2 linked regions of the Drosophila melanogaster genome follow. The protein of the gene in region 1 interacts with the protein of each later gene in a pairwise test. Each region holds a gene or a part of one and is shown on either strand. Other genes may lie near its edges. The genes, in order: RanBPM and CG17154.

Region 1 (8,035 bases):
AATTTAATGGGCCCCTTGGTTGTGTCGGCCTCGAAGTTAGGTACGGTCTGTCCCAAACGCATCTTGCTGTTTGATTTTTAGTTTCACTTGGAAAAAAACTTGTTAGTTGCTCAGCTGGTAGCTGTTATTAGCTCGCACACTTGTTGCTTACTGAATACTGACTGGGAGAGCTCGCTGTCTTTTATACCCGACTGGATCAATTTGATGAAAGGGGACCGATAGAGACAGAGAACGGGAGCTGGCTTATCGTATCATATATGTACATATGTATGTTTGTATGTATAGTACGTGGTGCTGCGGGTAGACTAACAAACAACTCAGTGATAATTGGGGACATTGTGAGGGGAAAGATGAGGCCTCGTACGGGGTCTCCATATTTGTGTGAACCTCAAGAGGGGCCTTAAAAAAACCTGTTTGGGGCGTCACACAAAAATGGACTCTGTGACGAACACATTTTAGATGTAACGCAAAATGAAGTACAGTTTCGCATATTTCTTTTAATTTAAACTTGTTCGAATAAATCAATCAGTCCAGAACCAATTCCTTCAGGATCTAGTATCAAAACAGCTGATTTGATGCAGTTGACGGTTTTGCCGGCTCCAAACATAAACAGAGAGCGAGAGCGCATTTAAATGTTAAATGGTGTTGGTAAACAGAGGCGAAGCACCAACACCTGCAAACATACAGCCACGCCGATAGGCGGATATTGAGAGCGAGAGAGCGGCGAGCAACGTGATGGTATTTGTGAGTGCCTGCAAAAATCGCACACTTCCATAGATCGCACGGCTCTCCCGTTCACGTACAGAAAACGAGCCTCTAATTGAAAGTGAAGAGCGAGTGAAATCGTGAGACTGTGTGCGTGGGTCTATCGAAAATTAGCACACCAGCATAGGTTTTCTCTCAGTAAGTCACACATAAAGATGGAATGGATTTGGGAAGTCGGATGGGCAGATCGCTCATTCAGAAGGCAAAAGACAGTACGCATGAAAGCAGCCCAAATAGGAATCATATGGTTAAAATTCAATATCTAGTCATAATGGATACCAAAAATGCAACAATTGATAAGTTTAATTAGAAGAGTTCCCTCCCAGTAGCTCGATCGTGTTTCATAAGTTACAAGTACAGTTTTTGTGCTAGTGTATAAAGTCTAATCAAGAATCCAGCAACATTCGTCTCTACACCAGACGTGTGGTAATTTTCCACTGTTTATTATCAGTTACGTGATAGGATTTCTATTCGGAAAGGAAGTAACTAAAATACAGAGTGAAGGTTGAGGCGAAACGAACAAGAACGATTAGAAGAGTGAGATAGAAAGTGTCAAAGCATTTGAGAGAAGCCGTAGAGCGAACCGGTAAATTCTGCAGCATCGATAGTCTGTCAATCGAATCGAATCTTTTGAATTTATGGCGGTTTTTTTTACCAGTGCAGCGATCTCTTAATTACATTCTGGGCAGAGTACTAGAAATCACTAAAGTTTTTTGCGCTGATGCATTTTTAAATCTGGTTTCAATGTAAAACGCGTATGTTTGACATTCGTCATACTTTTATACCATAGGCAGAAGTTTCTAAGTAATAATTGCCCTTAATATTCTTATCGGTATGGCGTAAAGTATGCGCTAAAAATAGATAATATGATCTTTTTTTATAATTTAAACCAATATTTAAAAGATTAAATTAGCATTAAAAAACATAACGAATTACGTAAGGTTTAATTTTACCCAAAAAATAAGATTGCTAGCAATAGTGCAATAATACCCTCCAAAAGTATTGTCAAGGGTTTTACCTAAAAACATTTTAAGATTTTAATGGCACTTTGGGAAGTGTGTTACTGCTTATCAAATTTTGAATTTAGGCGCCTAAAGAGATTTATTCGATAAGAATAATCGATAGCTGCCGAGCGCACTCTGATGTTGTCAGGTGTCGGAATAGATATCGATATCATCGAATGAACATCGGCTTTTGTTCCAGCTCTATAGCATAAAGTCAAAACTTCGTAGATTTAACAACTCATAGCAATCGTTTGAAGGTAAATATAAGGAAATATCAACTGTAGATCCGATCAACAGCATAGAATGACAGCCAAATCGAATTCATCAGCTAAATAAAACCCCAACAAAGATCATTTGCCCCAGCTAAAAAAAAATGATAATTTTCTTCTCTGCGTGTGGGAGCTGCGAGTGTGTGTGCTTGCTGCATGCATATATGCGTGTGTGCGAGAGGGAGAGAGTGCTGCCAGTGTGTGAGCTGGTGCTTGTTTGTGTGTGTGTGGACAGTGACTCGTTGGTTAGAAGGGAAAACAAAGAAAACTTCAGAAAAGTACGACGTAAAAAGGCATTTACAAATGTAGAATAATCAAAACTGACTTGCTAGCAATGTTAAAAAGTGCAGAAAGCATTGGCTAATATCGTTTGGCTATTGATTTTTTGCATTTTCGTGCATGCAATTTTGTAGCTGTAGTTGTTGCTGTTGTATTTTTTTGTGCTGCAGCTGCGCGTCGCAACTGTAAACTGCTGTTGCTGTTGTTGTTTGTATTTTGGGTCAGTTAACGAAAGAGAGTGCACGAGTGATTGAGAGAGTGCGAATGAGGTGAACGGTGTAACGGACAAAGGACATTGCATTTTGGAAGTTGTTTGTGTTTGCTAGCCTCCTTACCCCTCCCTTCGTCACTCCTCACGTATACACACACAGCATCTGCATATGCACTTCATCCGCTCTCTCTTGCTCGCTCGTTGCTGGCTCACTCTCTCTAATTCCTCGCTGAACGTCTCTCTCTCAGCCTCCTTTTGCAACCACAACAAGATAAACAACAACGACAACTCAACCATAACATGGAGAACGTCGAAGAGGCCCCGCCACTCTCTTCGGAGAGCAACAGCAATAGCAACAACAGCAGCGCCAGCAGCAGCTCTCACCAGCTCTCTCAATCGGGAGCCATGGGTGCCGAAATAGCCCCCTCTACGTCTCGGTCACACTCTCATTCGCCCACACCCTCGCCGCCCGTCCCCGCGTCCTCTCACGACCAACCCCATCCCGATCACCCTAGTCCCCCATTGAATGCATCTGAAACGGAAGCTCGCGAGAATTCACCACATGATCACTCACCCACTCCTACTTTCCACCAGACTGCACCGCCACCCACGACTTCATCGACGGCACCGCAGCGGGACGAGCGGGAGCAGCAGCAGCAGCAAGAGGCGCCACCATTGCAGCAGGATCAGCAGGAGAATTCGCCCGCGCAGGACCAGGAGCTGCACCCATTGCTGGATCAACAGAATCAAGAATATCCCGCAGTGCACCAAGATCAACAAGCGGAGCAAAACCAGGAGCTGCATCACATAGAGGGGCTTATTCGGCACCGAGAATCACAGAATCCGGAAGAGCATCCACCACAAGCATCGCTGGAAAACCGGGAGACATTAGGACGAGAAGATACCAACCAAGAACCGGATGAGCCGCAAGTTCGAGATCCCGAAATCGAACCAGAAGCCGAGCCACCGCCACCGCTGCTTCTCGAAGATCTGGACGAGCAGGACTCCGGATCGCAGGATCTTAACGAACAGCAGCCGCCACTGATTATAGACGCAAACGCTATAGCCGAGACCATAGACGCCAACGCCGTGGAGCGCATCGACGACTACGAAGACGACGACGAGGAGGTGGATGAAGAGGAGGAGGTGGTAGAGGACCGGGTCGACAGAGCCGGCGAAGTCGCTTCCGTTTCCGGTGCCCAGCGCCTGCACTCGGTGGCCGTTTTGCCGCGCTACTCCTCAGCCTCACGAGCCCCAAGGAGCAGCAACAATAACAACAACAATATCAGCAATCACAACAACAATAATAACAACAGCAACAGTAACAGCCTCTCGCGACGCACTCGTCACTTCTACAGCAACAACGGCAGTCACTTCAGCAACGACATGTTCCCCAGCCACAATCCCCGCAGCAGCACCCAGACATCATCGCCGCGGGTCGGTGGTCGCCGCCATCACTCGACCCCCGCCGCCAGCTCCAATTCGCCACAGCACCAGGGCGTGGATCCCCTAAGGCTGCTCTATCCCAATGTCAACGAGAGCGAGACTCCGCTGCCCAGGTGCTGGAGTCCCCATGACAAGTGCTTGTCCATCGGTTTGTCGCAGAACAACTTGAGGGTCACCTACAAGGGTGAGTAGGATTCGAACTTCTCTATAAATCAACTCTCCATTTCATACCATCTAAAATAGAAAGTAGGCAACGATCAGGCAACTATAAGATACAGATTTCTTAGGAGCTGTCATAGTTCAATTCTAAATCGGTTTCATATTGCCACTAATACGCACATTTCAATTTCGCAATGAAATGTAATAATTAAATATGCACTTACATAGATATAGTTACATAGATATGGAATAAATTGTAATAAGTTTGTCTACGCTGTAGCCAAGTATGAGTATCCAGGTGGTATAAGTGCCAGAGTTCATGGAGTTTATCTTTATTACAACGATTTGACTTTGTTCTTACATTTTCAAATTTGTATTGATCTAAAGCTAAAGAGACAGTATACAATATTTTAGCCCTTAAATCAAAACACCCGAATATAAGGCTAGCCCCTACTAAATTATTACTTGCATAGTTATTAATTGCATTATCGAAATTATTATTTATTCGAAATCCCATCCACAAAATCTAATATTTGTCTTGAAGGATGTAACTCAATGCAGTAGAAAGAAGAAGAGTCGTAGTGCAGCTGCAGTTTTCACTCTCTTTCGCTCTATCTCGCTCTGGCACACACACGCACAGGGCACAGACAGGTGCTCTCAGCTGTGCACTGGTGGTTTTTGTTTTTCATAACCCACTTCTCCCACGCTCATTCGCGTGGCTGTTAAACCGCTAACAGCAACAGCTGGCTTACCAGTGCGACATAACATGTAAAATGCGCGTAAAATGTATAAGTTATTACGTAGATGGTGCGTTGCATAGATGTAAAATGTATATTTAGGTTACTTTAATTTCAGGTAAAATATATAACTCAATAATTCGAAATATTTCATTTAAATTGATAAAATGTCTCATTATTGTTTCGACGTAGACTTAGGCCAAAAATCAGTTTTTTTATTTAGAGTATCAATTTTATTATTTTTATTGTCCAGATAACCAACTCATTCATTTATGTTAAGAACATATCCCATGTACTAAGTTCGAGAGTAGGAAGTTCATACCGAATGGATAAAAGAATATTGTCTTACTGCAATGCTATAGCATATAAAAATTGAGATCTGTCAAATACTGAAACCTCATGACTTTTTAGGTGTGGGCAAGCAGCACAGTGATGCCGCCTCAGTGCGCACTGCCTATCCGATCCCGTCCTCCTGCGGACTGTACTACTTCGAGGTGCGGATAATCTCCAAGGGACGCAACGGCTACATGGGCATTGGCCTAACTGCCCAGCAGTTCCGTATGAACCGCCTGCCAGGTTTGTGTTCCATTGTGCTGCTCGGCGAGATGTGCCCATGATTCCTAATAACCGCACCCCCCCTCAAGTAGGTTGGGACAAACAGTCGTACGGGTACCACGGCGACGATGGCAACTCGTTTAGCTCCTCGGGAAATGGCCAAACCTACGGCCCCACTTTTACCACCGGCGATGTGATTGGATGCTGCGTCAACTTTGTGAACAACACGTGCTTCTACACCAAGAACGGAGTGGATCTGGGCATCGCATTTAGGGATTTGCCGGTGCGTATTCAATGGAATTTTAAAACTACTTTATCTTCTAACTTTATGTTTGTTAATCTTTTTTTTTTTTGTTTAGACTAAGCTTTATCCCACTGTGGGCCTACAGACGCCTGGCGAGGAAGTGGATGCCAACTTTGGTCAGGAACCATTCAAGTTCGACAAGATCGTCGATATGATGAAGGAGATGCGCTCCAATGTGCTCCGCAAGATCGATCGATATCCACATCTGCTGGAGACCCCAGAAAACCTGATGAATCGGTGCGTTTTTGTTAAATGTGTTTAAAAATCATGGCTTAACCCAATGACTTCTAAATTGCTTAGCCTGGTTTCCACTTATTTGGTGCATAATGCGTTCAGCAAAACCGCCGAGGCCTTCAATGGCTACACAAATCAGACTTTCAACGAGGACTTGGCATCGATCAAGACACGTCAAAGTTCGTATATTTGCCATTTGAAATGACAACACACATGCCAACTTTAAATCCACTCTTCCAGAGATCATTAAGCTTATACTGACTGGCAAAATGAGCCAGGCCATCGAACATACACTACGTTCTTTCCCCGGACTCCTGGAAAATAATAAAAACCTCTGGTTCGCATTGAAGTGCCGCCAGTTCATTGAGATGATCAATGGAGCTGACATTGAGGTGGGTTTTTAAACATTACATGCGGAAGATAAGTAGAACCGGATGGTTTGTCTTACAGAACGTGAACAACAAAGTCACCGCCACCACACAGACCATGCCCACAAACCAGACGTCAGTGATACAGTCCACCAAGACGTTCAAGCACAGCAAGAGCGGCAGTGGAAATGGCAACGTCAACATAAATCAGACTCAACAACAGAACAACACTGCGATTCCAGCTGTGATAAAGCCACAAGGCGGCGATAGGCCAGATATAAAAAAGTAAGTCAAATGTAATACTTACTCCGATCTTTAATCACAACGTACTGTTCAAGCATGTTGGTTGACGACAACTCCAACAAGTGCGTGGAGCACGACAGCAACAGCATGGACGTAGAAATGGAGCCCTGCCAGAGTCACTCCAACGGCGGCGACTCGAGCTCCAATGGCAATGCCAGCGCAGTGCGCAACTCTCTAGATGCCATCGACGAGGAAATGGGTATGTATCTATTGGCGGCATTTCCGGGAAGATCCGTAATCCCTAGCACTTGCAGATGTAGATGTTTCCCCCTCATCGCGTAACTGTGGTCGTGTGATCGAGAAGATCCTTGAGTTCGGCAAGGAACTGTCCAGCATGGGCCAGCAGCTGGAGAAGGAGAACCTAATGACTGAAGAGGAGCGTCAAATGTTGGAGGTAAACTATAAAAATGTATAAACAATAGAAACTGGTATCTTGCAGACTAAGCACTCTTTGTATTTGAAAAATAACTTCAATAAGAATATGATTATCCGTAATCGAGAGATATTCAATTTATGGTTGTTACAGGATGCATTTAGTCTGATTGCCTACTCTAATCCTTGGTCCAGTCCGCTGGGCTGGTTGCTGTGTCCCTCGCGACGTGAGAGTGTTTCCACCACACTCAACTCGGCCATATTGGGTAAGTCTTTAAACACTTGTCTCGAAACGAAGTTACTAATTACTATGATTATGCAGAGTCCCTGAACTTCGAGCGTCGTCCGCCGCTGGAATACCTGGTGGCTCACGCCTCGGAGCTGATCAAGGTGATCGGACAGCACTCGCTGGGCGAGGACGCTTTCATTACCATCGACGATGTGTTCCCGCAAAATTGACCCAGTTCCCCGACGCTGCTGAAGATGTTCGAGACCACGCTGACCCTGCCGCGAACCAGTGTGCTTACGGAACCGTTGGGCAGCGCCGGAACCGGATCTGGGCCCTCCACATCAACGGCTGCCGTGGCAGTTCAGACCAGCAAACGACGCCGAAGGCGGCGTAACAAACGTCGCCGCAAATCCTCCCTGTCCAGCAATACCGATGCCCCGTCGTCGCGGACCTACGATCCCGTGATGACGGGCAGTACGCTCCGGTCGGCAGCTGTGGCATCGGTGGGCGGGGGCACGGGCACGGGACCAGTGCGTCGGGGTCGTCGCAGGAGCGGGGTCAGCTCATCTTCATCGGCGGCAGCGGCTGCAGCAGCGGCAGCGGAGGAGGAGGCGGAAGAAGCGGAAGCGGAGGCGGCTCGCCAGGAGGAGGAGGAAGCGGAAATCTTGAGCGGAAACAGCAGCCCATCGATGTTCGTCGATCCGCAGGACTTCTTCGAGACACTGGACTAAATTTAGATTATTTACAATTTGCAGTAGGTTAAATTTTGTTGTTACTTCCGTTCTCTTTCTTTTTTACCT
Region 2 (2,965 bases), on another chromosome or scaffold:
AAATAAAAAAATACGATCCGACAGAGTGAAGGTACATAAGTTCTGTAAGATTGTAAAGGTTTTGCCCTTTTTGGGGAAAAGAAAAGCAAAGGCCACACACGTTGAAATTTTGGGTTTTGTTTTTCCACTTACAAGTACAACAAAATTAGAGAAATTTTCTGAAGAGCCATACAAATGTGTAAATGTAAATAGAAACAACTTTCGCGTGGTAAAAGCCCTGGAAAAAAATCGAAGAATTTACAACTGCTACTTATTGCCAGGTCGAGCAAAAAAATTTAAAGAGTTTCTTAGGAGGTGTGGCGCATTTGACTAATCCAGAAGCCACAGAAGTTTATATAAAAAAAAAGAACGGAACGCAGAAATTTACATAAATTTAAGTTTGGCACACCTTGCCACACATTTGAATGTCTTCATTTCGTTTCAATTTTCACTGCTGTTTGTGGGTGTCGCACTCCAGAAATTATATGTATTTATGTGCGACAGTGAAAGCCATAGAAATATGATCATATAAATCAACCTGAATGCACACCCTTTTTTATGATTTTCTTACATTTTTTTTTTTTTCATTTTTGGGTTTCCGCTTGGTGTTTCAGTTGTTTTTGGTGTGGTGTTGGCTATTGTTGGGCTGCCCGAAAGGATTAAATGCTCATAAATGGCATCCAAAACGCGTGTGGTCTTTTGTATGGCCGTTTATGTGAAATCGCAGGGCAGGAGAACTTGTTTCATAAAAGAAGTTCAATTCCATTGAAAGGAACTGGGAAAGTACAAGGAACTCTTGAAACTCGCCGACTTTTAGCTTACACATACACATTGTTATCATTTAAGGAAATAAAATCAAGTGGTAGAAATGATATGTTGCTATGAAATGATTTAAGACTATATTTCATTGAAAATGTTAGAAATAAATCTAAGCTGAACTGCTCAGCGGTAATTCGGGGAATTTTCTCAAAAGATTTGGCAACCAAAACAAATTCATAGATGCATTAAAAAACCATTTGTACAAGTGGTACCCCCCACCCCCACTCCTCTGATGTCAGCCAATTCCAACTAATTCACAATAGTCGCTGTATAGTAAAAATTCCAATAGACTTGTGGAATTTGTACTGCCATTTAGCACAGTGACAGAGTCAACAACAAAAGGCCATTAAAAATAATTTGAATAAATCAAGGGAGGGTAGCGTGAAAAATTAATGTTTAGCCACTGCAAATGTCCAGTCGTGAATCAGCCAATAACAATATTCTCATCTACAACGATCAAAGAATCAATAGATGCGAGTTTCCAACCGGAGGTGCGGATAATTTATTAATGTGATTAGCATTGCCATTGTATCCGCAGAAGATCTCATGGGCCATCTTTGTTTTGGCCAGATGAAATCATAATCGTGGCTAACTCGGAGGTGTGAAGCGGCATAAAGAGATGATGGAAAATATGAATACATTAGGTCACATTCAAAGGTGTCCCAACAAGGCAAATAGATTTGACAATCTTATGATGGGTATTTTACGTACAGAACCACTTTCAAGAACTACTTGAGTATATATGACATATTTTTATATGTAATTTTCAAAATAAATTTTTTTGTTTTTCCTATCATATTTGAGCAACTATTAAAAATTCACTCCCAAAATTTTTTTCTATTAAATTGAAATGCTAATGGAGGAGAGCTCGATCCCGAACATTCCCAACGAGGTGATCAACTACGTTGAGGAGCAGCATGCTCGGCACCGCGAGTTGACCAAGCAGAAGAAAACTCTGAAGAAGTGCATCAAAAAGCTGCAGGGCATGCTGAAAATGCTAGAAGGTCGCAATGATGGACTACCGTGCACAATTGCCGCTGGCAACATCTACCAGCAGTGCACCGTGCAAGAGTTGAGGAGTAATCTAACCGCCAAGCTAACGATATACGTGGGCAAGTTCGTCAAGGTCCACCGGAAGCTATTGGGCATACACCGGGATCTTAGTCAGGATTACGAGACGATCTGCGAGAACGCAAACAGCATAGATGTAGTCAACTGAATGTATGATGATTCTATAAACATCTTGTAATACATATTCACATATATTTCGGAAATATCTGCAAGCAAAAAGCATACAGTGCATACCCACTATTTAATTTTAAGGCATATGTTAAATCACAATTATAAAATAATCAACATTTTCCACTCCTCGAAACTCATGTTCTCCGATTAAATCATGTAATGTTTCCTAGGTATTTCACTGATCATGATAGGTAGTGCTGACAACTGGTCCCAAAGACAATGGGGAGTCAAGTCTAATGGCGGTTTTCAACTTGAGCGACAACTTGGATCATTAAAGGCATTAGTGTCAGTGGCAGCAGAAGTCAGCAGGGGGCCAAGCAACCGAATCAAATTTCGTCTGAATTTTCATAGTTAAATTTCCCGGCAAAGTGGAAAATGGATGGCCAGGTGGTGGGCAGTGGGGATCAGAGGTGGAGGAGCAGAGGCGTAGCCGAGTCACCTTGTCATAATTAAATGTGTACTATTTGTCTTCGCTTTCAACACTCTTCCACGAACTCTTCGCAGCTCCACTCTCATCTCTACCCATTCCAAATAGATACCCACCCCTTCCCCTTCATCACTTAACGCCTCCACAGATGAAGCATAAACTTCGAAATGGGGATTTCTTATGATCCTAACTGTAGCTGCACCAAAGTGCATCAACATTTTTAGGAGATTACAAATGTTAAAAAAAAATGCAAAATAATATATGTTTACTAATAAAAATGAAATTACCATTGAAAATCATTTAATTATTTGCAAAACACCAATTTAAGTTATTCAATGTACTTAAAACCTGTAAGCTGTTTGTGGAAAGCCAGACCTATAACTATAAGACTTTATAGCTCATTATTATAATATAATTTTAACGTACTTAATGACATTGTTAAGTTTTTAAGGAAATTGTTAAAATACTATAACTTTTTTTTACAAGAAAACTCCAACT

Evidence for each region.
Region 2: the proteins of RanBPM (region 1) and CG17154 interact in a two-hybrid assay, tested with the Drosophila melanogaster proteins (one large-scale study listed by BioGRID).

Annotation. Positions count from the first base shown.
Region 1 is NT_033778.4:10,427,758-10,435,792, forward strand, and holds the start of RanBPM (Ran-binding protein M), read left to right. Parts: upstream 1-1,954; 5' UTR 1,955-2,026; intron 2,027-2,247; exon of another isoform or gene 2,248-2,316; intron 2,317-2,776; 5' UTR 2,777-2,828; coding exon 2,829-4,158; intron 4,159-5,281; coding exon 5,282-5,446; intron 5,447-5,514; coding exon of another isoform or gene 5,515-5,517; coding exon 5,518-5,708; intron 5,709-5,784; coding exon 5,785-5,966; intron 5,967-6,029; coding exon 6,030-6,142; intron 6,143-6,203; coding exon 6,204-6,355; intron 6,356-6,413; coding exon 6,414-6,616; intron 6,617-6,669; coding exon 6,670-6,833; intron 6,834-6,879; coding exon of another isoform or gene 6,880-6,888; coding exon 6,889-7,028; intron 7,029-7,160; coding exon 7,161-7,272; intron 7,273-7,328; coding exon 7,329-7,465; coding exon of another isoform or gene 7,466-7,966; 3' UTR 7,967-8,035. Other genes in the region: CG12896 (uncharacterized protein), read right to left, coding at 1-62. UniProt on the Drosophila melanogaster protein: May be involved in JAK/STAT signaling. Isoform D is required for the proper arrangement of niche cells and is autonomously required for proper niche cell size, isoform C negatively regulates the adhesive properties of the niche.
Region 2 is NT_037436.4:12,087,056-12,090,020, forward strand, and holds CG17154 (uncharacterized protein), read left to right. Parts: upstream 1-1,570; 5' UTR 1,571-1,648; coding exon 1,649-2,017; 3' UTR 2,018-2,170; downstream 2,171-2,965.